Arabidopsis thaliana: one gene and its partners. The protein of the gene in region 3 interacts with the protein of the main gene of each other region in a pairwise test. Each region holds a gene or a part of one and is shown on either strand. Other genes may lie near its edges.

Region 1 (5,646 bases), on a different chromosome or scaffold from region 3:
ATAACTTCAAGATCATTTATCTCCACAACAATCTTGACTTCTCCGTTCACAAGATACCCAGCATTTTTGGCATGAAGGTTGGGAAGAGGGATCATAGATGTAAAACCCGAGCCAAGATTTCTTTGATTAAACCAATTTTGTTTCTCTGTTCACGAAATATATAGAAACTCTAATCCAAACAAGCAATAAAATTGCACAATGCATAACAAGAATCTTGCAGCAGCACAAAGCCACATGAGTGTCCATGACAAGTTGTAGAATCATAAAATATCCTTTATAATATAAAGTTTAGAAATAAAGAATTATCTCCTCGTTGGGAGAGTTTGTCCGTAAGTTGATTTATTATAGTTAAGGAGAATTGTGCATATCTTCTCCATCCACAAGGCAATGCTCTAGCATCATCAACCACCAGATACAGAGACAAACTATTATTAAATTTATTTCCCTTTGGATAGGCCAGAAGATGCCTGCAAACAAAAAGCAGTTGCAAAAAAAAGTGGATGTCCTCGTAAACCTAAATTGGACTAATACAGTTAGAAAAAAAGTTTTAGTTTCTTAAGTACCATTTGCAGCCACCAATCACAAATGGATCAGAATAAATTTTGTCATATTGCAAAGTGGAGAAATTCTTAATCACCCAAGTGAACTTGTTATCAACTTCTTCACTCTCCATTAAAGACTCCTCACAACCAAACTACCTTTAAAACAATGCCACACACCCAAATTCATGTTATATACCAAAGGAAACACATCTCGAGTAACAAAATAAAAACCAAAACCTAAAATTCCACTATGGACTCTAACTGACATGATATCCTCAACGCTAGTAATCTTAGCTTCCACATAAAGACGTCAAGGTCGAACCAAACGCTTTAAAAAAAACTAAACTCTACCTTAATGAGAAGAGACAATGAAAAGGGTTGTTCTAAGACAACAGTCAACGGAGACTAAGGGAAAAAAGGGTTTCAGACTCTGAACGCTTACATGAATGCAAATCAAATTTTATTAGGAAAGTGAATCACTTTTATATGGCTTAGGAAACATGACTTGAAAACTAGAGTAACTAATGTTGTATATAATTTAATGCATACTATAAATAATCAATAGTTTCCCCAACCATGGTGATTTACCAGGGATACTCTGTCTCTCTTGTTACTCAGTTTCCAAAATTTCCATATTCAAAAATTTAGATTGTATAATTTAAACACACTTTAGTTTGGATATGATCAAGGGTAGTTACTTGATACAGTTTAGCTCCTATATTCAAGGGATTGCATATATTTCATTTTCAAGGGATTAACTACTTCTTCTATGTTCTGCTTTGATTTATTGATTTCTTCTAGAAAACACATCTTAAACTTTTCTAAATTTAATGTTGGTTAAAGTAATTTAAAAAAAAAACACTTCAAGCGCACAATGCTTTAGCACAAAATGCCTAAGAAAGAACTCAAGACATCAACCTATAGAGGATCTCCACAAAATGTCTCTGCCTTATCAGAGGGCAGTTTTTCAAAGCCTTGTCTAAAACATCTTAAGAACATCATTGAACGAGAGAGGAACATTAGCGGTCAAGTCATTTGCTTTCTCCTTGTCTAGAATATCTTTCAGGTCTAAGCGTTTCTGATTGAGTTTCTGCAAATCTTCCTCTATTTGTTGCAGCCGAGCCTTACCATTATCCACATTCTTCTTCTTTTCCTTTACTTCCTTGAGCTTCTTCTCCAACCAATCCACTTTAAAGCCACCTTGTGACACGAATAAAACTGCAATGGATGCTTCATCCAGATCAGTATCAGAGAGCTCCGCAGGCAGTTGGCACAGCGTTTCAATTATTCCGAGGAGTACATTCATGTATAATGTCTTCAGACATGGTTTCATTGAAGGGACTTCTGATGCAATGTTTGGGTATATTTCAAATATACGCTTCACAGATTCTACCTGTGAAAGAAGAAGAAAAAAATATCATAAAAGCTTTAGAAGCCCTGAATACATACAGAAACATTTTGTACATCAGAGTATTTAAATACAGAAAACCACAAAGAAGTATACTCGCATTAATCTTAAGTTTCTTACCTGTGAAGGAAGAACTTGAAACCCATTGACATCAATGATTTGTTGAGTCTGTTTGAGTAAATCAATAGAGTTGGCACCATCATTATTTGATGTGCCAATAACTTCAAGAGAAACAACCTCAATAACAATTGTTATTTCTCGGCAAATCAGAAACCCTGCATCTCTTGCAAGAAGGTTGAAAGGGGGTGGTACTGTTGGATAACTACAAGCGGGAAGATTCTCATCAAAGTATAGGTCTGAATCTGTAGCATCACCACAAGTATTAAAACATCAATATCACATTAAAACTAATCTAAATCAGTCACTCATTTTGCAAAAAGTATAAATAGAAGAATAACCTGTCACAATGGAGCGTTTATGAGAAATTCCATTTACTATAGTTAAGCGAAGTTTTACATGTCTTCTCCATGAAGAAGTCAGTGATTGACAAGAATCAGCAACCCCCATGTATTGATAGAAGAACTCATAGTTAGTTCCCTTTGGTAAGGCTAGAAGACGCCTACAAAAAAAATCAAATCACCAGAACATAATTAGATGAAAAGTACGTTTGGAACAAAAGTTGGTTCAGTTTTTACCATCTACTGCCAGCAATCAGAAAGGGATCAGAATGACTCTGCTTAGGATAAAAAACGTTGAGATCCTTTATCACCCAGACAAATTTCTTGTCAACTTCCTTCTCCATTATATTACTCGCAATGAAACTACAACAGCATGAAGAGAATTAAACCAAATTCATGTACCTACCAATCAAAGTATCAAACACACACACTCTCCAACAAATTCTTTCTTAGTTTAACAAAGATTTTACTATGAACTCAAAGACATATGAAGTTTCAGCCAGCAGTTTAAACTACTTAAAACTAGTTGACCGTAGTTGAGGAAAAGAAATATTCTAAGACATGCAAGATTAAGGGAATAAAGCGATTACCCTTGAGAGGCGAGTTGAAAGAGAAACAGCGACTCAGAAGTCAGAACTCGTACCCACTTTGTCCAAGTTAGTCCAAGTTTGTCAGAGCTACGAACCCAATCCAAAAACCAAATTACTTGGATCGAATAGTTCAAAAACGAGATTCAACCATTTTTATAACATTAATCCTCTAAACCAAAAAAAGGGAGATATCCAATTCCAATAAGGAAAGAAACTAAAATCCCTTCTTTGGAATTGACTTTTCCAATAAGGAAAGAAACTTGGACTTGAGATTCTGTTTCCTTTTTTCTTGGTGAATAGACCTTCCAAGGCTTTTTAGGTCCTTTTGTGTTAAAGAGAGGAACAGGATGCCAAACGTTTTCAAAAGGGGTTGCCAATTTCTTTTTTGATTTTTTTTTTTTTAGTAAAGGATACAGATTTTTACAGTAAACTTAGGAAATATTTGTTTAATTTAATGAAGATAACTGACGCTTTTATATATATAATCTTGCAACAATTTGTTCAAGTCATACCCTTACAAAACAAGTAACTAAATATTAGAGCAGAAGTGAATAAAAGAACCTAAAAGATTTTCTTAGAAATACTATGTTACATCTCAATGTCTTCTAGATCTGGTAAAGGGAACCTAAGAATAGCTGCAATTCCAGTATGCTGTGCTAGTTGTTCCCCTGAAGCATGCATTGACGAAAATATAAAAACCTCTCCTCCTGAATCTTTCACCGACTCCACAAAATCCACATACTTCTTCCTTGTTTTCACGTCAGAGTTCCTAAATAGCCCATCTATAATGAGAAGTGTTTGGATTGCCATTCGTTCATGAGCAACTTCCACATGTTTTGGTCCATAACATGCTCTATTTGGATCATTCGAAAACATGGTGAAGAAATCGTTGAGAGCTTTGACCTCTTTTGCTGCTTTAGTATCTTTGATCATATTCATCACGTTAGGGTCATGCAAAACCTCGCTTAGGCTATGTTTATATCCTGAGTTTGTGTGCACCAGAATGAAACGTGATTTGTTCTCAAGAATAGGTCTCAACTGTCTTCTCTCTGCTTCCAACAATAGGTGGCGATGAAACTGATCTTTTGTAAACCCGGGACTTGCAATCACTGCGCATCGAACCACACTGAAGTCAACGTGTTTCAGAAAGGCTTGCACAACATTCTCAAAGAATTTCTTCAAAACTGACTCGTAACCAGCCGTTCCAGCTCCATGCTTCCAAGGAATCGATGTTTTTATTCGTGCACCGCAACTTTTTACACTTTTGCCGGCAAGGAAGATTTGTGCCAGTCCTTCTTGCATTAGAACTACAGCTAAATCAGCACTAGCTGCAAGATCTGAGGCCTGCTTGAGTGTATCAAGAGCCAGTGAGTCCCAATTTTCCTTTCTCAATAAAAAAGGTCGTTTAAGCTCAATCTCCAAAGTATGGAATGCACCAATCCTTACATGCTCGTTCTCCATGATATTCTTCCCGCGTATGCGCATAACATCGCCGTCTTTGTCATAGTCCACCTCCTCAACTTGTACTTCTAGCTTAAGTTTAACACGTTCAGTCCGGGTGAAAGATCTTTTCTTTCCAAGGTATTTGCTTTCTATTCGACTTAGCGATGGAGTCGAGTCTCTTCCTTCACCACCAACTTTTCTGAAAGTGATAGCCATTACACTATCCTCCGGGCCAATCAGGTTATAAGTATACCAGAGATCATCCGAGTCCTCTGCCATCATCTTAACGCTTCCGGGTCCATTACGAACAAAATCCTTGCGAATGATTTTCATCTTTCAGGATTTTTGAAGGTATTTTCCACTAACAGAATCTGAAGAATAAACTGTCGATCGGAAATTGTGGTAGGGAATGAAGAACAATCAATCGCTCTGACAAGAAGAGAAGAAAAAATAAAAACTTAAAGTAAACTTTTGCTTAAATTAAGCTGTTATTGATCTGAAGAAATAGACTTGATCTCCTGAGATATACATATTTATAGCTAGCTATAAAGCTTACATAAGTCGTCTAGGAAAACTAGGAAACGTATTTTCCTTTTCTACATTGTTAAGTATTGGGGATAGAGATTAATCTCATTAGGATTATTCCTATATATCTTCTGATTATGTCCTATATTTTAGGGACTAGAGTATATCTTATACGATGTCTCTCTTGTATAAATATTATACTTTGTGAATCAATAAAATCAAGTTAGTGCAATATCTAATTCTACATAGTTTCTTTATTTCATTAGAGCATCCTTATCCATAGGTTGTTAACAATATCATAAGAACTATTAAAATATTATATTAAACAAAATAAGAATAAAAAAATTAAAAAAAAGTATACTTAAGAGATGAAAAATGGCTCTTAGCTAAAAGTTTTTAGATACATTCTCTCTAGCCTTTTTAATATTTAAACATTATTTTGTATATATCAAAATTGTTTATAATTCTATGTAAGAGTCGATTGATAAAGATGGTCTAATTTCCTTTTCTTAATTTTTGACGTAAATTAATCAAAATCACGTGCTGCTCACATGTTGTTCTTACTATTTTGCTCACTTCTTGTTGTTCTTAGGATATCTTTCGAAATCATTGGAAGATATGACACAATTTGAATGGATATTAATCATCATCATTTCCTAAATCTTTTTCGGTAGTTTGTA
Region 2 (6,370 bases), on a different chromosome or scaffold from region 3:
ATTCTCAAGATTCCTGACAAGGTGGTGATACTCAGAAGAATCTTGTCGAGATTTACGCAATTCCTCCTCCAGCATAGCGATTTTTGCACGCAAAGATTTTAAGTCTTCCTGATTTATAAACAAGGAACAAAATAGTGAATAAAGAAAGATATAATTGTACAGTTTCATTGTTGTAGGATAATCATATATAATAATCCCGTTCACTTATTCTAACCAACTTAGAACATGCAGCTTAGTCCTAGACGATGAGACACAAACATATTCTCCAATATTACAGAGTAAAAGACATTATAGGAGAAACTTACATCCTGGAGAGAGCATTCACCATTCCTGAGCTGTCCATCAGGCCTAAAATCCTGGAGAATAAAATGCAGAAAATATTCATTGATAAACTGCGTCTGGTCATCAACATCAATGCAAACAGCAAAAAAAAAGGTAGGAAAAGGCATAGTAATTCTTTCTTGTCCTGCTTAATTTTTTCATACAGGCCAATTAAAAGGTTTTACTTCAGGAAAACATATAATTTGTGTCCACGTTTGTCAACGAAATTAAGTCTCATATATGTAAATCCTCGATGATGAGAAGAGTGGTTCCATGTAAGGTCCGATGAGGTAAACAATACTAACCTTTTGATCAGAGGCATCCAGTTGACTGGCAGCTGATACTGGTGCAACCACAAACTGAGATTTTGTCACATCGTTATTAGTTTTAGAACCACGCCCTCTACCTGTTGACGAAGCCCGACCTCGACCTTGTTTCTTCTTACTTACATCAAGGCCTGTCTTGGACTCAGCATCATTTTTCCTTCCATCATATGCTGCCTCTTGTGGCTTCAATTCAACAATATTCTTCATTATAAGTTGATGAGAAATACTAGGAGACAAAACTTACATCATACACCAATATTTGATATAAAAAACATCAACCCGATAAGAGACTAAAAGAAAACTCTTTATGAAAAATCAATACCTCAACATGATCAACAACACTGAAGTTGTTAGATTCTTGAACTTTCTGGCGCTTTTTTGTATTTGCTCGGATTAGGAAATCTCCAGTATTCTGAGACAGTAACAAGGAGAATGAGATCTAGCTAAAAAAGAGACTGTATTTCTTGTTCAAGAAAGAAATATAGATGCATCTGCAATGCCAGGATATGTAGCCAGCATTGCATACAACTTTGATCAATCTTTAGGCACAAACTGATCAATACAAGGAGGATAGGGACATCAACAATTCAATTAGCAACGACCCTTAGACTCACAAGAATCATAGCATAGACATAAACAAAAGAATTTGAAACAAACATCGGAAGCTACCTCGTCGTCTGAATCACTGATAGAGGTTTCGGACAATCCCGGCGGTGTGGAAGTGACGACTTTGACAGCGGCAGAAGCAGATGACCAGAGAGAGACCTGCTGCTGCTGCTGTTGTTGTTGTTGTGGTGGCTTGGCCGAGGAAGGGGTCTTACCAGTCAAGCGGGCCTCAAGCTTGGCGATTTTGTCGGGTAAAGAGTGATCCGACTGATTAGAAGAATTCGAGGAGAAATGCAAAACCATGTCATCCGACATTGCCAAACACTTGCGGACACTTCACTCCCTAATTTCTACACAGATCAGAGTAAATTCGAGAAATTAGGGTTTTTTAACGGAGAATTACGGAATTGGAAGCTAGAATCTGGATGTCGAAGAGAAACCCATCAACAAATTTTCATGCTTTTATGCAAATCCACGTGGAGGAAAGTGAATAAAACGTACAGAGAAAGATAGACAGAGAAAGAGAAGGAGGAATAAGGTTTTTGTTTCGGTGAAAAAGAAAAATCGAGGAACCCTAAGGAATTAGGAGGGAAAGAGAGGTCAACACAAAGTTCTCTTTAGCACTCACTCTGATACATTTTTTGGTTTATCAGATTTTAGCCTAATTATATAATCTGAGGTTTGAGACAAGTTTGAGTTATGGGTGTGTTAATTTGGGAAATTTCCATTTTTTCTTTCTTTTTTTTTCTCCATTTGGTATCATGGATTAGGGTTGACTATAAGTAGGGTTTTCTTTGATCTAAGGCCAGACTCGTGGTTTAAACGCTAAAATCCGATTATGACTATATGAATTTGCGGAAGTAGGCGGTTGCCGTCTCAAGCGTTATTAAACAATTTGAACGATTAATTTAGCGGTTGAAAATTAATGCATTTGCGGAAATTTTGTTACTGAATATCTAACAAACTAAAATACTTAATATATTAAATAATAAAATAATATAATTTAGTAATTTATAGTAAAATAAGATATGCTAGACTATTAATTTTGACACTAAATATATTCTGATTTCTTTCTTTACTAGTTTCATTTATATTTAATAACATTTTTATATAATTTACTATTCACAGAATTTAATAAGAAATAAATCTTAATTTGAAAAAAAAAAAATTGATTTGATAAAATTTCAATTGATTAATTAATTAAGACAAATAAAATAATAAATGAGAATCTCAGTGTCAATTAATAGATAAAATTAAAATGTAACATGCGTTAAGAAAAAGAAAAAAGTAAAAATGTAATATTAAGGTTTAGGCAAAATGAAATATTTACAGAGACCTTTTACTATTGAATTAAAAAAAAAAGTTACAATTCGAGATGGACTATTTTTTTGGAGGAGCAAGGGTTAACTCTTATCTCAGATTAAAACAACCCCTGCGCCGCTTACTCTCTCTCAGATTCCTCCCGAAGCAACCTCGTTTACTCTCTACGCCAATTTCAGCGCTTAGACATCCCTTTGTGAGTTTTCTTCGATTCCTTTTCGAATTCTTCTGGTCGATCTCAGAGTAAATCGTGTTTTTGGAAGAATTGAGTATAAACAGATTGGTAAACCTAGCTGTTCCGTTTCTGATTTGAAGCCTTGTCGTACATTTTATTTGGGTATTTTTTTTATTGGGAATCGAAAAGTTGTTCTGAATCTCGTTATGGTTTTGTTGCGTTCCGAATTACCTCTCTGATTTAGAAACCCTAATTTCGGACTTGCCTATGCTCATCGTTGTTACAGATTATGTTGATTCTAATATGTATATGTTTGGTTTCTGAGGTCTTATTATCATTGTGTGTTTTCGTTTTGTATCTCAGTTGCAATCATGGCTGATGAAATCAATGAGATAAGGGAAGAGCAAGAAGTAAGTTTGTTTTTTTTCTCTGTTTCTTAATGATAGGGCTCAAGTTAGCCATATAGATTTTTTTTTTTGTTTTGTTTGATGAACTCATGATTGAATGGTTTTTATGTTTTGGTTCATCCTTTTACAGCAGCTCGCACCCTTTGATCCTTCCAAGAAGAAAAAGAAGAAGAAGGTTGTGATTCAGGAACCTGTCGAGGACTTAGCAGAGTCTTCACAGACTGAGAAATCTGATTCATTGCCTGGTATGTATGATGAAGAGTCAATGTGATGTGAAACATTTTTTTTGTTTCAATGGTCTTTTGTGTTACTTTGTCTAATTCCTTGTTTTTGCAGTTAATGATGGTCTTGAGAGTTCATTTACTGGAATGAAGAAAAAGAAGAAGAAGCCAGTGAGTATTGTTTTACGTTTTGTGCCTAGTATTTTTTTTATGTCATTAAACTTGTGTGTTTGATGATTCTGTGACTCACATTTGTTCTTGTTTGATATTTAGACTGAATCAAGCTTATTGAACAACGAAAGTGTTGATGCTGGGGAAGATTTGGATGGTACTTTTAATATCCTTTTTTTTTGTTTGCTAATATACCTTTTCTCTTGGCGGGGTTTTTATCCTGTTTGAATCTTACTGAGAATATATTGCAGAGATTGCTAATGACGAGCAAGAGGGGGAAGAAGGAATAGTTCTACAGCAACGTTACCCCTGGGAGGGAAGTGAGAGGGATTACATATATGACGAGGTGACTATATTTTCGATGATTTCTTTTGTTTTAATCCTTCATAAATATCTTGCTCCCTTGTTTTTTTGCTGACGGGAGTTATATATGCAGCTTCTTGGTAGAGTCTTTAACATTCTCCGTGAAAATAATCCGGAGCTTGCTGGAGATAGGCGTCGTACAGTTATGAGGCCTCCTCAAGTTCTTCGTGAGGGGACAAAGAAGACTGTCTTTGTCAACTTCATGGACCTTTGCAAGACGTATGAGCTAACTCTTTATCTTCCTCTTCAAACTTTTTCTGTGTAACCATAAGTAATATTACCATTTAATTTTGATGACTTTTCGATGACATGTCTTATCTGCATATAAAAAATCAGGATGCATCGTCAACCAGATCATGTTATGCAATACTTGCTTGCTGAGTTGGGTACTAGTGGTTCGCTTGATGGGCAGCAAAGGTTGGTTGTTAAGGGAAGGTTTGCACCTAAGAATTTTGAAGGAATTTTGCGGCGATATATCAGTAAGTAACTTTCTTCTTAGTCTCAAAATTTAAGTTGCCATAAAAGTATATCAGTTTGGAGTTGTTAACCTCTTGTTTTATTATTTCTCAGCTGACTACGTCATTTGCCTTGGTTGCAAGAGCCCAGACACCATTCTCTCCAAGGAGAACCGTCTCTTCTTTCTGAGATGTGAAAAGGTATAAGTTAATCTAATTAGTCCTGATCTTGATATGCATTCCTTTGTTTCTGTTTTACAGTTTTACTTTCTGCGCAACAAAGTAATAAAGTATTTTGTGTGTTTGAATTTGCTAATGTGATTAACGAGTGGGCTACATGGTTTTTGCAGTGTGGATCTCAACGATCTGTGGCTCCGATCAAAACAGGGTTTGTTGCTCGTGTTAGTCGCAGGAAGACTTGAGAAATTAGAAGGTGAAGTGACCTTGGTATGGAGTTTGGAGCTATTCTACTGCTTCTGTATGAGTTTATGAGTTGAAGAAATACTTGTCTTGTTTTTTTTATTTTGTTTTGGAATATGATTATGACTTGACTTTTAAAATGGGATAGGATCAAAACCTTTTACTCTGTCAGGTTCATGTGGTCACCTTGAAGGTTGATTTAGTAAATCCATGGACTTCTTTTTTGTGTTAAGATTATTCTTAGTTCAAAATTAATAGACTAATGATATTAACGTCCACAGGCATTGCGTTCAACATCTCAAATTAAAGCGTGGAAGGCTCAGAAAGTCCAATATACACTATGTTTATCTACAGTTACAATCATACTACAAAAAACAAATAATGTATACGGTTTGGTCTAATATAGCCGCATACGATTTAGTATTTACCAACAAAAAATTGGTCTCAAACCAAACCGAACAATTGGTAATTAACAATTGTTCTTTTGGTCTTGAACCGAACCAAACCGAACTGAACTATATTAACCGACCGACTTCGTCCTTTCCTCCTGATCAAGAAAACTCGTCTCCTACAAAAATCCCAGAAGACAAGAGATTGGTTCTTCTTTTGCATCATTCTTACAAAATCCCCAAAATCATTCGAAACCCCTGAGTATTCTCCTTAACTCTAAGAAATAAATTTCTGAATGGATGCATCGTCTTCACCGTCTCCTTCCGAGGAAAGCTTGAAGCTTGAGCTTGATGATCTTCAGAAACAGCTGAACAAAAAGCTGAGATTCGAAGCATCCGTTTGTTCTATTCATAATCTTCTCCGTGATCACTACTCTTCTTCCTCTCCTTCTCTCCGCAAACAGGTTGGTTTTTATTCTTAGATTTTCGGATCAATAGATTCAAAATTATTCGGAATTGTTAGGGTTTATGCCTGCCTTGACGTTTACTCATTGCTTATGTCTGATGATGGGTTTAACTTTTGAGGATTGAATCAGGAATCAAATATCTTTCTTTTATTGTTTTTCTATTTCAATTGTGGAGAAAGTTCATGTTCATGTCAAAAATTTCATTTAATCCGATCTGTTTTTGTTTAGTTACCCTCTGTGACATAGTATTGATTTGATTGCCATTGCAGTTCTATATAGTTGTATCTCGTGTCGCTACGGTTCTTAAGACAAGATATACAGCTACTGGATTTTGGGTTGCTGGACTGAGTCTTTTCGAAGAGGCTGAGCGACTTGTCTCTGATGCTTCTGAGAAGAAACATTTGAAATCTTGCGTTGCTCAAGCTAAGGAGCAGTTAAGCGAAGTAGATAATCAGCCAACAGAGAGCTCACAAGGTTTGTGAAACATTTAGTTTGGCTTTTGATGGTTTTAAGTGAAATTTATCTGGAGATGATTTTTATTTCTCTTGTGAATTTTTTGCAGGTTATCTTTTTGAGGGACATCTTACGGTTGATCGTGAGCCGCCACAGCCTCAGTGGCTAGTACAGCAGAATCTCATGTCTGCTTTCGCTTCTATCGTTGGTGGTGAATCCTCTAATGGTCCTACTGAAAACACTATTGGGGAAACTGCTAACTTGATGCAAGAACTT
Region 3 (5,325 bases):
ACAGAAGCTAATGAACCATTTAAAACTCTTCTAAAGTTGTAAACTATCTTTAAGAACCCTAGATCTCAGAAGTTTCCGTAAAAAACAAGGTTAACAAAATTCTACACAGCGAAATCGTTAATGTTATTGATATAATTGAAATCTTACCGACGGGAATTTGATCTTCGTTATCCGATAAGATAACAGACGTCGGAGAAATCTGGGAATTGGAGTTTCCGGTCACCGACACTTGAACTGGGGAAAATTGGCCGAAGCGGAAGACGAAGAAACGAAAAGCGAGACAAGTTATAAGTGTTGCAGCGACGAGTTTTATGAGATATGTGTTTTGTTGAAGATTAGAGATTGATTCCCATTTTAGCTTCATCTTCTTCTTCTTCCCTCGCGCTGAGAGATATACGATTTTTTTTTTTTGGTCAGAAAGTGGAATGTTTTTGATTCCGTACTTATTGCCTAAGCGATAAACCAATGAATAATAGAATCCAAAAAGATTAGTGAGTAATTTAATGCTTGTGGGGTTAATGATATACAGAAAGTTAATAAATGAAACAGAGAATGATTAATGAGGATTCTAAACAACCGTAATTATTCTCTCTCTGATTTTAAGTAATGTTTAAGGTTTTTTACACATATTACAAAAGTTTAGTTTAATTTACCTTTTTTTGCATAAGTAACTATATCTAAGTCAACCAATAAAAAATATACTATAGAATATTATTGGTCAAAAAATATTAAATACATTTAACTTTTATATTGAAAGTTGAAAGCATCATTTAAAATCGGAAAAAACATTCTCTAAATTATCATTTTTAATGATATGAAACCGTCATCAATTGTGTCAATATCAATAAAAACGATCTCTTCAGTAGAGATGAAAAAAAATTGTATCGCATATGTCACAACTAATCTAATCGTTTATATTATTTAAAGTTTTAATTTCTAAACTCATAATTTTTACCAATTGTTTCAAAATTTTCACATCTGCAATTTTAACTGCAAAAGTCTCTATATTTTCTACGGTCAAATTCCTTACACCAAAATTTTCTACAACCAAAATTGATATAGTTAGAAATAACACTTGTTACCAATCGGTCCTAACACTTTCAGATTATAGATATTGCGGTTAATTAGATAAAAAAGATTCAAAAATATATTTGATTTCTAAGGACAAACTAAAAAAATTTAGGAGCTTTAGAAAAATTATGTTTGATTTCCAATTATTCTACGTGGTTTTAGTAAAAGATGTGTTTACTATAAAAACCTTGATTGTAATTGTTTATAACTCATTACTAAAAGTTGTGACTGCAGAAATTACGAAACTAAACTACTACAAAAAAATGTGGAGAAATGGGTTAAAAAAAACAAGGAAAAAAATTCAATGTTAAATCAACTGAAATTTTTTTCATTTAATTATTCAGCTAATTTTAGGGAAGTTATCATATCACTATATATATATATATATATAAATAATACAAACAAACGATGCGTAGAAGAAAAAAAACTGTTGTCCGGTTCACTGTCCAGATCGGGTTTAAAAACATTGATTTTCATATTATATTCCGAATTTTGTTTTGCCAAAAATCCAATTACTTAAATTTCAGGTCAATTTATGTTAATTTTTTAACATAACCCGATCCAATTCAAATTGAAACAAATTTATATTTCTCTTTTAATAGTATAGGAATTTGCACAAATGTTATGTAAAAAACGGAAAATTGGTTTTTTCATATCTTTAGTTTGAACTATGCTGCATTTATACACGTATTATACCACAGTTGATTTAACCTAAACTTCAATTTGATATTTAAACTTTCATTTTTATACGAAAACATACATTAATGTTACAATGTTAGAATACCTTTAATTTCTGTTGTTAACCTGAATGTTAGGGCTGGGCAAAATATTCGTTCGATCCGCTTTGATTCGGTATATGATTTGGTTTGATTCGAAAAATCCGAATATCCGTAAGATTTTGGACCAAAGCAAATAGGAAAATGTAGTATTCGTAAAAACCGAATCAAATAACAAATTTTAAAAAAAAAAAACCGAATATCCGCTTCGATCCGTATCTTTTTATATATATATTAGAAAATATAGTTATATCTATATATATATCATAATAGTTTGTGTATTGTTGCTATTTTACGTTTTTATGTTAAAATGTTTGTTTGATCATTTTTCTCATGTTATGTTTTGATCAACGACATCAAAAACTATCGGGTTTTAGTTTTCGGAATTAGTTTGATAACATTTTGTAGACTGGTGGTACCAACAAGTATTTAGTTTTTATTTTGAAAGCATGTTAAATAAAAACTTTGAATATCTGATATAGTTATATAGTATATAGATTTTTTTTAATATTTAAATATATCAAAGCGGATATCCGCAAATATCACAAAAAATTCTGGATATTCGAAATTCCGGATATCCGGAAATTTTCGAAGCAAAGCAAAGCAAATCACAAAATCAAGTATTCGTTTAAAACGAATCGAATAACAAATATCACAATTTTTCCGGATATCCGTTTCGTACCCAGACCTACTGAATGCCATATATAAAACGGTAAAAACAGAAAATTAAAGTTCTAGTAAAAAAAACATCGCATCAGTTACAAGGTTTGGATTAAATTAAAAAAAGGTTTGGGTTAAATTAGCTTAAGAATGAACAATTTATTAATTATTTTTTTGGTCACATGGAATAAACAATTAATTAATTTGAATAATATTACTTAAATACATACAAACATTATCTGTCATCTTCGATTACGTTATCATTAACCAACGTTTAGGAGGACTTTGCTTCTTCGTCTTCTTCTCTCTTTAGGTTCTTCAAGTTCGCAATCCTGGTAAGATTTTCTCGAGAAAATTCCATTTCTTTCTATCTGATTCTGTTTACATTGTTGAATGCTTGAAAGAATCTGAGTTTTAACCACACTCTCTCTTCCCTGTTACTCACCATTTTCTCTCTGAATCCTCCGAAACCCATTTCGATTTCCACAATCTGAGCTCATAAATCTGGTTTAATTCTCATCTTCGTTGCATTTCAGTCATAAAGAGAACATAAAGCTTGGATATTTAGGGTTTTTGCAGAATTTTTGATTAAGCTTATGAGTTTGGTAATAATCTGTAGAAATTGGTTGATGTTGTTTCAGGTTTGGGTTTAGGACAAATCAGAGAAGAAGATGATGTTTGGTTTAGAGAAAACGATGACTTTGGAGCATGAAATTCTGAAGGAGAATCATGAGACTCTGTTGAAAGATTATGAGAGTCTTCAGGAGAGGATTAAGCATGCTGAGGAAGCTTATGAGGCTATTAAGTTGCATCATGAGAACAAAGCTAAGGAGCTTGAAGTGAGTAACAAACGCTTGCTTGAGGAATGTATGAAAGAGAGAAGGGAGAAGGCTAAGGTTAGGAAGACTTTTGAGGAGATGAAGAAGACAATGGAGAGTGAGAGAACTGCTATTGTTGATGAGTTGAAGTCGAAGAATCAGGAGCTTTTGTTGGGGAAGAAGAAAGAGGAAGAAGAGTTAGTGAAGATGGAGAATAAGTATGTTGAGTTAGCTGAGAAGTTTGATGTTGTTGAAAAGGAATGTGCTTACTTGAAGTCACTCTATGATGCGGAAGTAGTAGCTTCGGTTACTCAAAGTGCTGTAATCTCAGGGGTTGGAGAGACTGATAATCTTATTGGTCAAGGAGAGAACGAGGCTAATCAGAATGTGAACAATGCTGTGACAGGTATACATAGACATCTCTGTACCCAAGTGTTGTTTAGTTTACAATGACATTTCTTTTGAATCTATCTTTGTGTGCAGATGCGATAATGATAAGTGATGATGAAAATGATAATAATCCACCTATTGAGAGTAACATAAGCTCTCATCGGTCTGGTGATAGAAACCAAGAAGAAGAAGGCAGGAACAGAGGAAACTCAGCGACTGAGAACCGAGCTTCGGGAGAAACCTTTACTCCGGTATCTGCTAATCATCCACCGCCTTTTTCTCCTTCATCGTCATCTTCATCATCATCATCTTCAGACGGCGCTGAGATTGTGCTTAAGCTGCCTCGTAATTGGCCTGAATGGGCAATCCCGAAAGGTCCCGGGAAGGATTCCAACAAGCCTTAGAACATTTCAGATGCAACAGAGAGCCAAAAGAAGTAAATTTGAAGCTGCACTCTTAAGTTAAGCTAGTTATGGAAATCTTCTTACATATTGCTTTCTGTTTTTGTCAGGAGTTTATTTAACAATCTCTGGAACTACAACAAACTATTCTATCTACTATCAAATCAATTATTCATTCATGAGTATAATAATAGCTGAAACTTTCTGTGTTACAACAATTTCACCATAACTAAAATTGCATTTGCATTTGAATACTGCAAACGCAAATTGGCTTTGTATACGCATCTTGTTTATATATGGATTAGTTTTTTCTACATAATTAATGAAAGCTTTTGTAAACTAACTCTTGAGTACTAACTAATAAGAAAGTTCCGTGGCAAAATAATTTCCGAATCATCGGATAATCATCCATTTACGAGGTTAAGTTCCGGGAACTGCTGGTGTTAAGGTTCTGGAAGATCTCCGGAAGATTGGCATTAGTGAGTTTGATTCTCTTGCTGATCTGTTGTTTGCCATGCCATGAATATGTGCAACAGCTCTTCTCTGTGTAGTGTTCATCACACATGCTTCAAACTAAGCTTATGCAGCTCCTTCTCGACTAGCTTGTCGCTTGAGTTGTCTATGCCGCGGTATAGAGGTTTAAAGTCGTCATAAACCTGAATCTGACCCTTGAAATCAGCATTAGACAGTCCTTAAACTTTTAGAGCCAGCAAATATGAAAGACAATCCTGAAAAATGGATAATCATAAGACCACAAAAGTCTTTTGAAACCATTTAAGATCAGGAGCCAGTACACTATCCGTCTATCAGAATCTGGCAATAAATATTATCAGAAGCTTATTGATTATGAAGTTAATACATCTTAAATAGAATCAGTTAAGCGTTTTTTGTAAATCTAAATCACATGTGAAATTTCTTTATGTCACGTTTTCATTTGTGTAAAACAATATCTTTTGATTTATTAAGCAAATAATTTGCAGCTAAAGCTCTCAAGATTCAAATAAATTGAAATGTAAGTAGTGTAAGTAGTGATTTCTTATAGAAATAGTTGAAATCTAAAAGTATTAGGACACTGATGTAAGTATTGTTAAACTAAAGAGATCTATCAGGAAATCAAATCACTATAGTTTTTTTTTTTTTTTTAAATTCCTTGAGTTTATCAAACAAAAAAATGTAAATGTCCCTAGCAAGTACTGTAGGTTCATTTTT
Region 4 (5,028 bases), on a different chromosome or scaffold from region 3:
ATAGTTATAATAGGTAGCTTTCAACATTTCACTTTGCACCCATTAATTGATTTCCACTACCAATGCAGCTACATTCATTCTTTGTTTCAAATTTTTCAATAACAAAACGATACAAGCTGCACATAGTCATTATTTTAGAACACAGAGTTATGAAGTTATCATTAATTTAGAACGTAGACTTAGCTCTCTCTATAATTTTCTTCATACGCTCAATATGTTTCTCTTTTGGAGGTATACATTCCCTCACGATCTCAACTTCATTCAAGTTCTTGATCCATCTGTTTAATTCTGGAAACGTATCCTCTGGAGTCATATCAATCCCCAAACATTCCCAAGCCCGAGCAAGACAAAACGGGATCATACTTCCCGCAACCATGTCCAAGAATCCGATCGTCTTGCCACCAAAGAAATCTTTTCCAGTGACTTCCTTCTCAAGAAACATAAGCATTTCTCGAATCTCCTCAATAGCAACATCTATTCCCTTCTCTGCTTTTACTAGGGGCATGAAGCCAACTGGTAGGATCTGCAAGTTATTATACCAATCTATAAAAAAAAGTACTTAGAAAATTACTTTATCCTACAAATAATCCTGATATAAATGCTTGAAATGTAATGAACTTCTAATAACTCTCAAGTGTTTCTCATTTATTTTGCAATCAATATTATAAATCAATTTAATTAGTTAGACTAGAGTACCTGCTCATCAACGAACTTGGCCCAGAACCGAACCATGGCCTTCTCGTAGGGATCGTGAGGTAGAATTGGATTGTTATTCCAAGTTTGGTCGATGTATTCGAGGATCACATGTGACTCGGATAATAATTTATCATTGTGAACAAGAACCGGAACCTTCTTGTGAACCGGATTTAGTTCAAGAAGTAAAGTGCTCTTTTTGGGTAAGTCTTCTTCCAAGTACTCGTATGGTACGCCTTTAAGTTTGAGAGCCATCTCGACTCTACGACTAAAAGGGCTTATCCAAAACCCTAGAAGCTTCACACTCTCTTCTTTCTTCGCCATTAGATCTCTCTCTCTGACTCTCTCTGTCACTTTAAAAACAATATTGTGCTTTTTTTTGTAGTCTCAACTCTCAAGCTTATCTTGAAGATAAAAAAAAAAAAAAAGACATCAGTAAGGTAACCAAGTCACTGCTGAGGTCACTTTGGTTATTTTATTCTTATTTCCTTCTAGTCTTGGCTTTTACAATCTCCAGACACACCACGTTATTTGATTGCTGTAACTTTCAAATAGGTTTTTGATCTTTTTACTTAAATATTAGGTCATTCTATTTTTCGAAAAACTTTAAAAAATAAAAATATAAATAAAAAACGATGCAAGCATATAAATCAAATATTTTCGTAGGCAAGAAGTATCTTTAATTTAGGCAGACTTAATTGTCTCTGCAATTTTGGTCATGCGCTCAATTTGTTTCTCTCTTGGAGGAATACATCCCCTCACTGCCTCAACTTCTTCCAAATTCTTGATCCATCTATTTAATTCCGGAAACTTCTCCTCTGGAATCATATCAATTCCAATACCTTTCCAAAGTCTAGCTAGACAAAATGGGATCATACTTCCTGCGATCATGTCCAAGAATCCGATTGTCTTGCCACCGAAGAAATCTTTTCCAGTGACTTCTTTCTCAAGAAACATAAGCAGTTCCCGAGTCTCTTCAATAGCAACCTCTCTTCCTTTCTCTGCTTTTACAAGGGACCTAAACCCTAGTGTTAGGATCTGCAAGTAAAGAACAATATATAAACAAGCGAATAATATAATATTGTTCTGCATAGAATCAACTAATTAATCTGCAAATCAATATTAGTATACCTGGTCATCGATGAACTTGGCCCAAAATCGAGCCATGGCCTTCTCGTAAGGATCTTGAGGAAGAATTGGACTGTTCTTCCACGTCTGATCGATGTATTCGAGAATCAGATGTGACTCGAGTAATATTTTGTCATTGTGGACAAGAACCGGAACTTTCTTGTGAAGCGGGTTTAGCTCCAGAAGCAAAGGGGTCTTGTTGGGCAAATCTTCTTCCAAGTATTCGTATGGCACGCCTTTGAGTTTGAGAGCCATCTCGACTCGACGACTAAAAGGGCTTGCCCAAAACCCTAGAAGCTTCACACTCTCTTCTTTCTCCGCCATTCGATATCTCTCACTTTTTGGTATCTAACTCCTCTGTTTCTTGCACTACTTTTCTTTTTTATGTTTCGTTTACTTGCTTGATTACTTGAGTTTACTATATTCTATACACAAATGAAGTTATGGGTGGTGAAATAAACAAATAAATAAAAGGACCATTTTGCTTTCTCTTTGTCTTTGTATCCAAGGATATCTTGAAGATCACACCAGAAAAGGACTGATTTATATTTTAAGGTATGCACGTCATTGCCAACGTCATTCGTCTTAGTGTTTTAAGATATTTGACCAACACTTAGTGTTTCTAATCTCCAGTCAATTAGCCGACCAAGAAATAACAAATCTCCAAATGATTACGTTCTACAATTTATATTTTAAGATTCATATGTTGAAAAGTTTAAAACTGAGAGATTAATGTATCGACTGTATTTGTAAAACACACAACTTTTTTTGTTTTGAAGAGTCTATTTTTTGGCCAATTCATTGTCTGCCAAACATTTGAAATGAATGACATTGTAAAACAGAAGAAATATTCAGTTATCAAACAAAATGTTAATCATTTTGAAAGAAATGATGTAATAATCTAAATCAAAATATAACATTTATATAATGTGAACCTTTTCAGTTTTTGGGTTTGATTCCGTCTTGATTCACGGTATCGGTTGATTTGGTTTAGTTAAACCGAAATCGAACTCTAAGCGAAATCATCTCGTCGGTTAAACTTCTTTTGAATTTAGACAAAGGTTAATAATTATTATTTATTCCATACTTCATTAGGATCAAATGTATCCGATACATCATAATTCATAGCTCAATCGGAGATTATTATAATTTAGATAGAGTACTCACACACTCAAGTAAAACATGAACCATAACCATGACAAAAACACAAGCAACTCCGATGATAAAACTCGAACCCATTACTCAACCAGAGATCTGAATAGACTTAACATCAGCCTTCTTAGTCTCAGCCTTAGGCACCGTAACAGTCAACACACCATTCTCCATCGCAGCCTTAACCTGATCCATCTTCACATTCTCCGGCAACCTAAACCTCCTCGTAAACTGTCCACTCGATCTCTCCACACGGTGCCACGTGTCATTCTTATCTTCTTTCTCCACGTGTCTCTCTCCACTGATCTTCAAAACACTATCCTCCTCAATCTCAACTTTAACTTCCTCCTTCTTCAATCCAGGCAAGTCAGCTTTAAACACGTGGGCCTCAGGCGTCTCTCTCCAGTCCACACGTGCGTTCACGATCGCTGAGTTCTCACGAGAAAGTGATGATGATGTTAGTTCCTTGAATGGATCCCATACGTCAAGAGAGAATGGATCAAAGATGTTGCTTCGTCTGTTGTTGTTGAAGAAACTTGGAATCATCGACATTTTAAAGAATTTACTTTTTTTTTTGTTGATATCTTCTTGAGAACTTTGATTTTTCGATTTCTGATAGAACACACGAAGGATTTTTGAAGCTATTTAAAGGTACTAACCGAAATTTCTCGAGCTTCTCGAGTTGTTATGGGGAATACAGAAACATCTAGAGGACGTCTATGAGAAAAATCAGGTGAATCCAGAAAATTCTAGGAGCATTTTGAAGATTGTTTGTGTTCGTTGGGTTTAATGGGCCTTCATGGGCTTTAGACAAATATGTAGTCTTCCAAAAAAAAAACTGGATTTCTACAGATTATCCGGTTCGACTGGTTAACCGAATTAAATTCCAAAATAATTGGACTCTAATCACACTATCCATAAAATCTAAAACATTTTCTTTGTTAATCTGAAGCATTTAAGGCTGTCTGAGTATTATGGGCCATGGGCTTTAAAAGCAATTGTATAACGTGCTGAATTGAATAGAATATTACTAAAAACTGGGCCCATCTAAAGGAGGATTAAACAAATCCAACGGTGTATATTGGACATTGAGCTCCACTAAGTAAGTAGGGTCACAATGACGTAACTTCCCGCGTTCATTACGGAATCTTGAGCGTACGATTCTACTATTGGGCCCATCTTTATAAAAATTATACTGTTTTTTTTACTAAATCCGTCGGCCACAAAAAGATATGTTTTTTTTTTTTGGGAAAAAAAAAAAACAACTTCGACGAAAGACTCGGCGAACAAAACACACTCGCTTCAACAACTCTCTATCTCTCTCTACTTGTCACTCTCTAATCTACACACAATTAACAAAGCTCAATCTCTCTCTTCTCTTACTCTCTACCTCTGTAGCTGATAGGGTCAGCTTCGTCGGCGCTATTTCTGCCGGATTTCACGGACGATTTGAGATCTGTTCTTCCTTCTTCTTTTTTCCTCTCCTGATCTGATTCAACTCTAATCTGCTTCAGTCTCTGTGTTACGAACTGATTCCGTTCAGGTACGGTTCGATTTTTTTCCAAGCTTTTTCACTCTCTGACACTGCCAATAACACTCTCGTGTTAGTCCTGGTGTTAGTGTTATGTGAATTCATCGATTCCTGCTTTGTGTGTGTACGCTTTAGGCCTTTCCTGTTACTAATCTTGTTTTTTAGTACTTCTTTGGTAAATTAAGAAAGTTTGAGAAGAATGTGATTTTGTTTTGGTTCTTTTGATACTTTAGTTTTACTTTTTTTCCTCAGCTTTAATCTTGTAGAGATTCTTCTAATCAGATCTTACGGATTCTTAAGGATCTATAAGGTCTATGAAGATTCGTTTTGTAATTCTATTACATTGTGTGTGGATAAGAAAGATGTACTTTTTTTTTTTTTTGGTATTTGTTATGACTTACCATTTTTTTTGTTTCTACAGTGAAAAAAAATGTTGAGCGTTTCAAGCTTCTGCAGTTTAATGGGAGACTGAGGAGTCATTTGAGTGAAACGTTTGGAACTTTGGAAACAGATGGAGTGTCGTT

The links.
Region 1: the proteins of AT4G11100 (region 3) and AT3G58380 interact in a two-hybrid assay, tested with the Arabidopsis thaliana proteins (one large-scale study listed by BioGRID).
Region 2: the proteins of AT4G11100 (region 3) and EIF2 BETA interact in a two-hybrid assay, tested with the Arabidopsis thaliana proteins (one large-scale study listed by BioGRID).
Region 4: the proteins of AT4G11100 (region 3) and GSTU1 interact in a two-hybrid assay, tested with the Arabidopsis thaliana proteins (one large-scale study listed by BioGRID).

What each region holds. Positions count from the first base shown.
Region 1 is NC_003074.8:21,596,444-21,602,089, forward strand, and holds AT3G58380 (TRAF-like family protein), read right to left. Parts: upstream 3,166-5,646; 5' UTR 2,999-3,165; intron 2,772-2,998; 5' UTR 2,753-2,771; coding exon 2,646-2,752; intron 2,570-2,645; coding exon 2,409-2,569; intron 2,313-2,408; coding exon 2,071-2,312; intron 1,936-2,070; coding exon 1,522-1,935; 3' UTR 1,356-1,521; downstream 1-1,355. Other genes in the region: AT3G58370 (TRAF-like family protein), read right to left, coding at 1-151, 307-467, 564-673; AT3G58390 (Eukaryotic release factor 1 (eRF1) family protein), read right to left, coding at 3,587-4,774.
Region 2 is NC_003076.8:7,093,411-7,099,780, reverse strand, and holds EIF2 BETA (eukaryotic translation initiation factor 2 beta subunit), read left to right. Parts: upstream 1-2,635; 5' UTR 2,636-2,769; exon of another isoform or gene 2,770-2,910; intron 2,911-3,111; 5' UTR 3,112-3,119; coding exon 3,120-3,158; intron 3,159-3,285; coding exon 3,286-3,400; intron 3,401-3,491; coding exon 3,492-3,547; intron 3,548-3,649; coding exon 3,650-3,704; intron 3,705-3,798; coding exon 3,799-3,893; intron 3,894-3,983; coding exon 3,984-4,129; intron 4,130-4,246; coding exon 4,247-4,389; intron 4,390-4,480; coding exon 4,481-4,566; intron 4,567-4,715; coding exon 4,716-4,787; 3' UTR 4,788-5,132; downstream 5,133-6,370. Other genes in the region: TSL (Protein kinase superfamily protein), read right to left, coding at 1-108, 306-356, 627-830, 970-1,059, 1,317-1,568; AIP2 (RING/U-box superfamily protein), read left to right, coding at 5,471-5,638, 5,911-6,115, 6,204-6,370. UniProt on the Arabidopsis thaliana protein: Component of the eIF2 complex that functions in the early steps of protein synthesis by forming a ternary complex with GTP and initiator tRNA.
Region 3 is NC_003075.7:6,765,858-6,771,182, forward strand, and holds AT4G11100 (gelsolin protein), read left to right. Parts: upstream 1-2,756; 5' UTR 2,757-2,842; exon of another isoform or gene 2,843-3,014; intron 3,015-3,148; 5' UTR 3,149-3,178; coding exon 3,179-3,731; intron 3,732-3,808; coding exon 3,809-4,119; 3' UTR 4,120-4,428; downstream 4,429-5,325. Other genes in the region: TBL23 (TRICHOME BIREFRINGENCE-LIKE 23), read right to left, coding at 148-364.
Region 4 is NC_003071.7:12,630,216-12,635,243, forward strand, and holds GSTU1 (glutathione S-transferase TAU 1), read right to left. Parts: upstream 2,324-5,028; 5' UTR 2,146-2,323; coding exon 1,825-2,145; intron 1,732-1,824; coding exon 1,378-1,731; 3' UTR 1,126-1,377; downstream 1-1,125. Other genes in the region: GSTU2 (glutathione S-transferase tau 2), read right to left, coding at 167-523, 697-1,017; AT2G29485 (uncharacterized protein), read left to right, coding at 375-516, 692-759; AT2G29500 (HSP20-like chaperones superfamily protein), read right to left, coding at 3,064-3,525; AT2G29510 (hypothetical protein (DUF3527)), read left to right, coding at 5,016-5,028. UniProt on the Arabidopsis thaliana protein: May be involved in the conjugation of reduced glutathione to a wide number of exogenous and endogenous hydrophobic electrophiles and have a detoxification role against certain herbicides.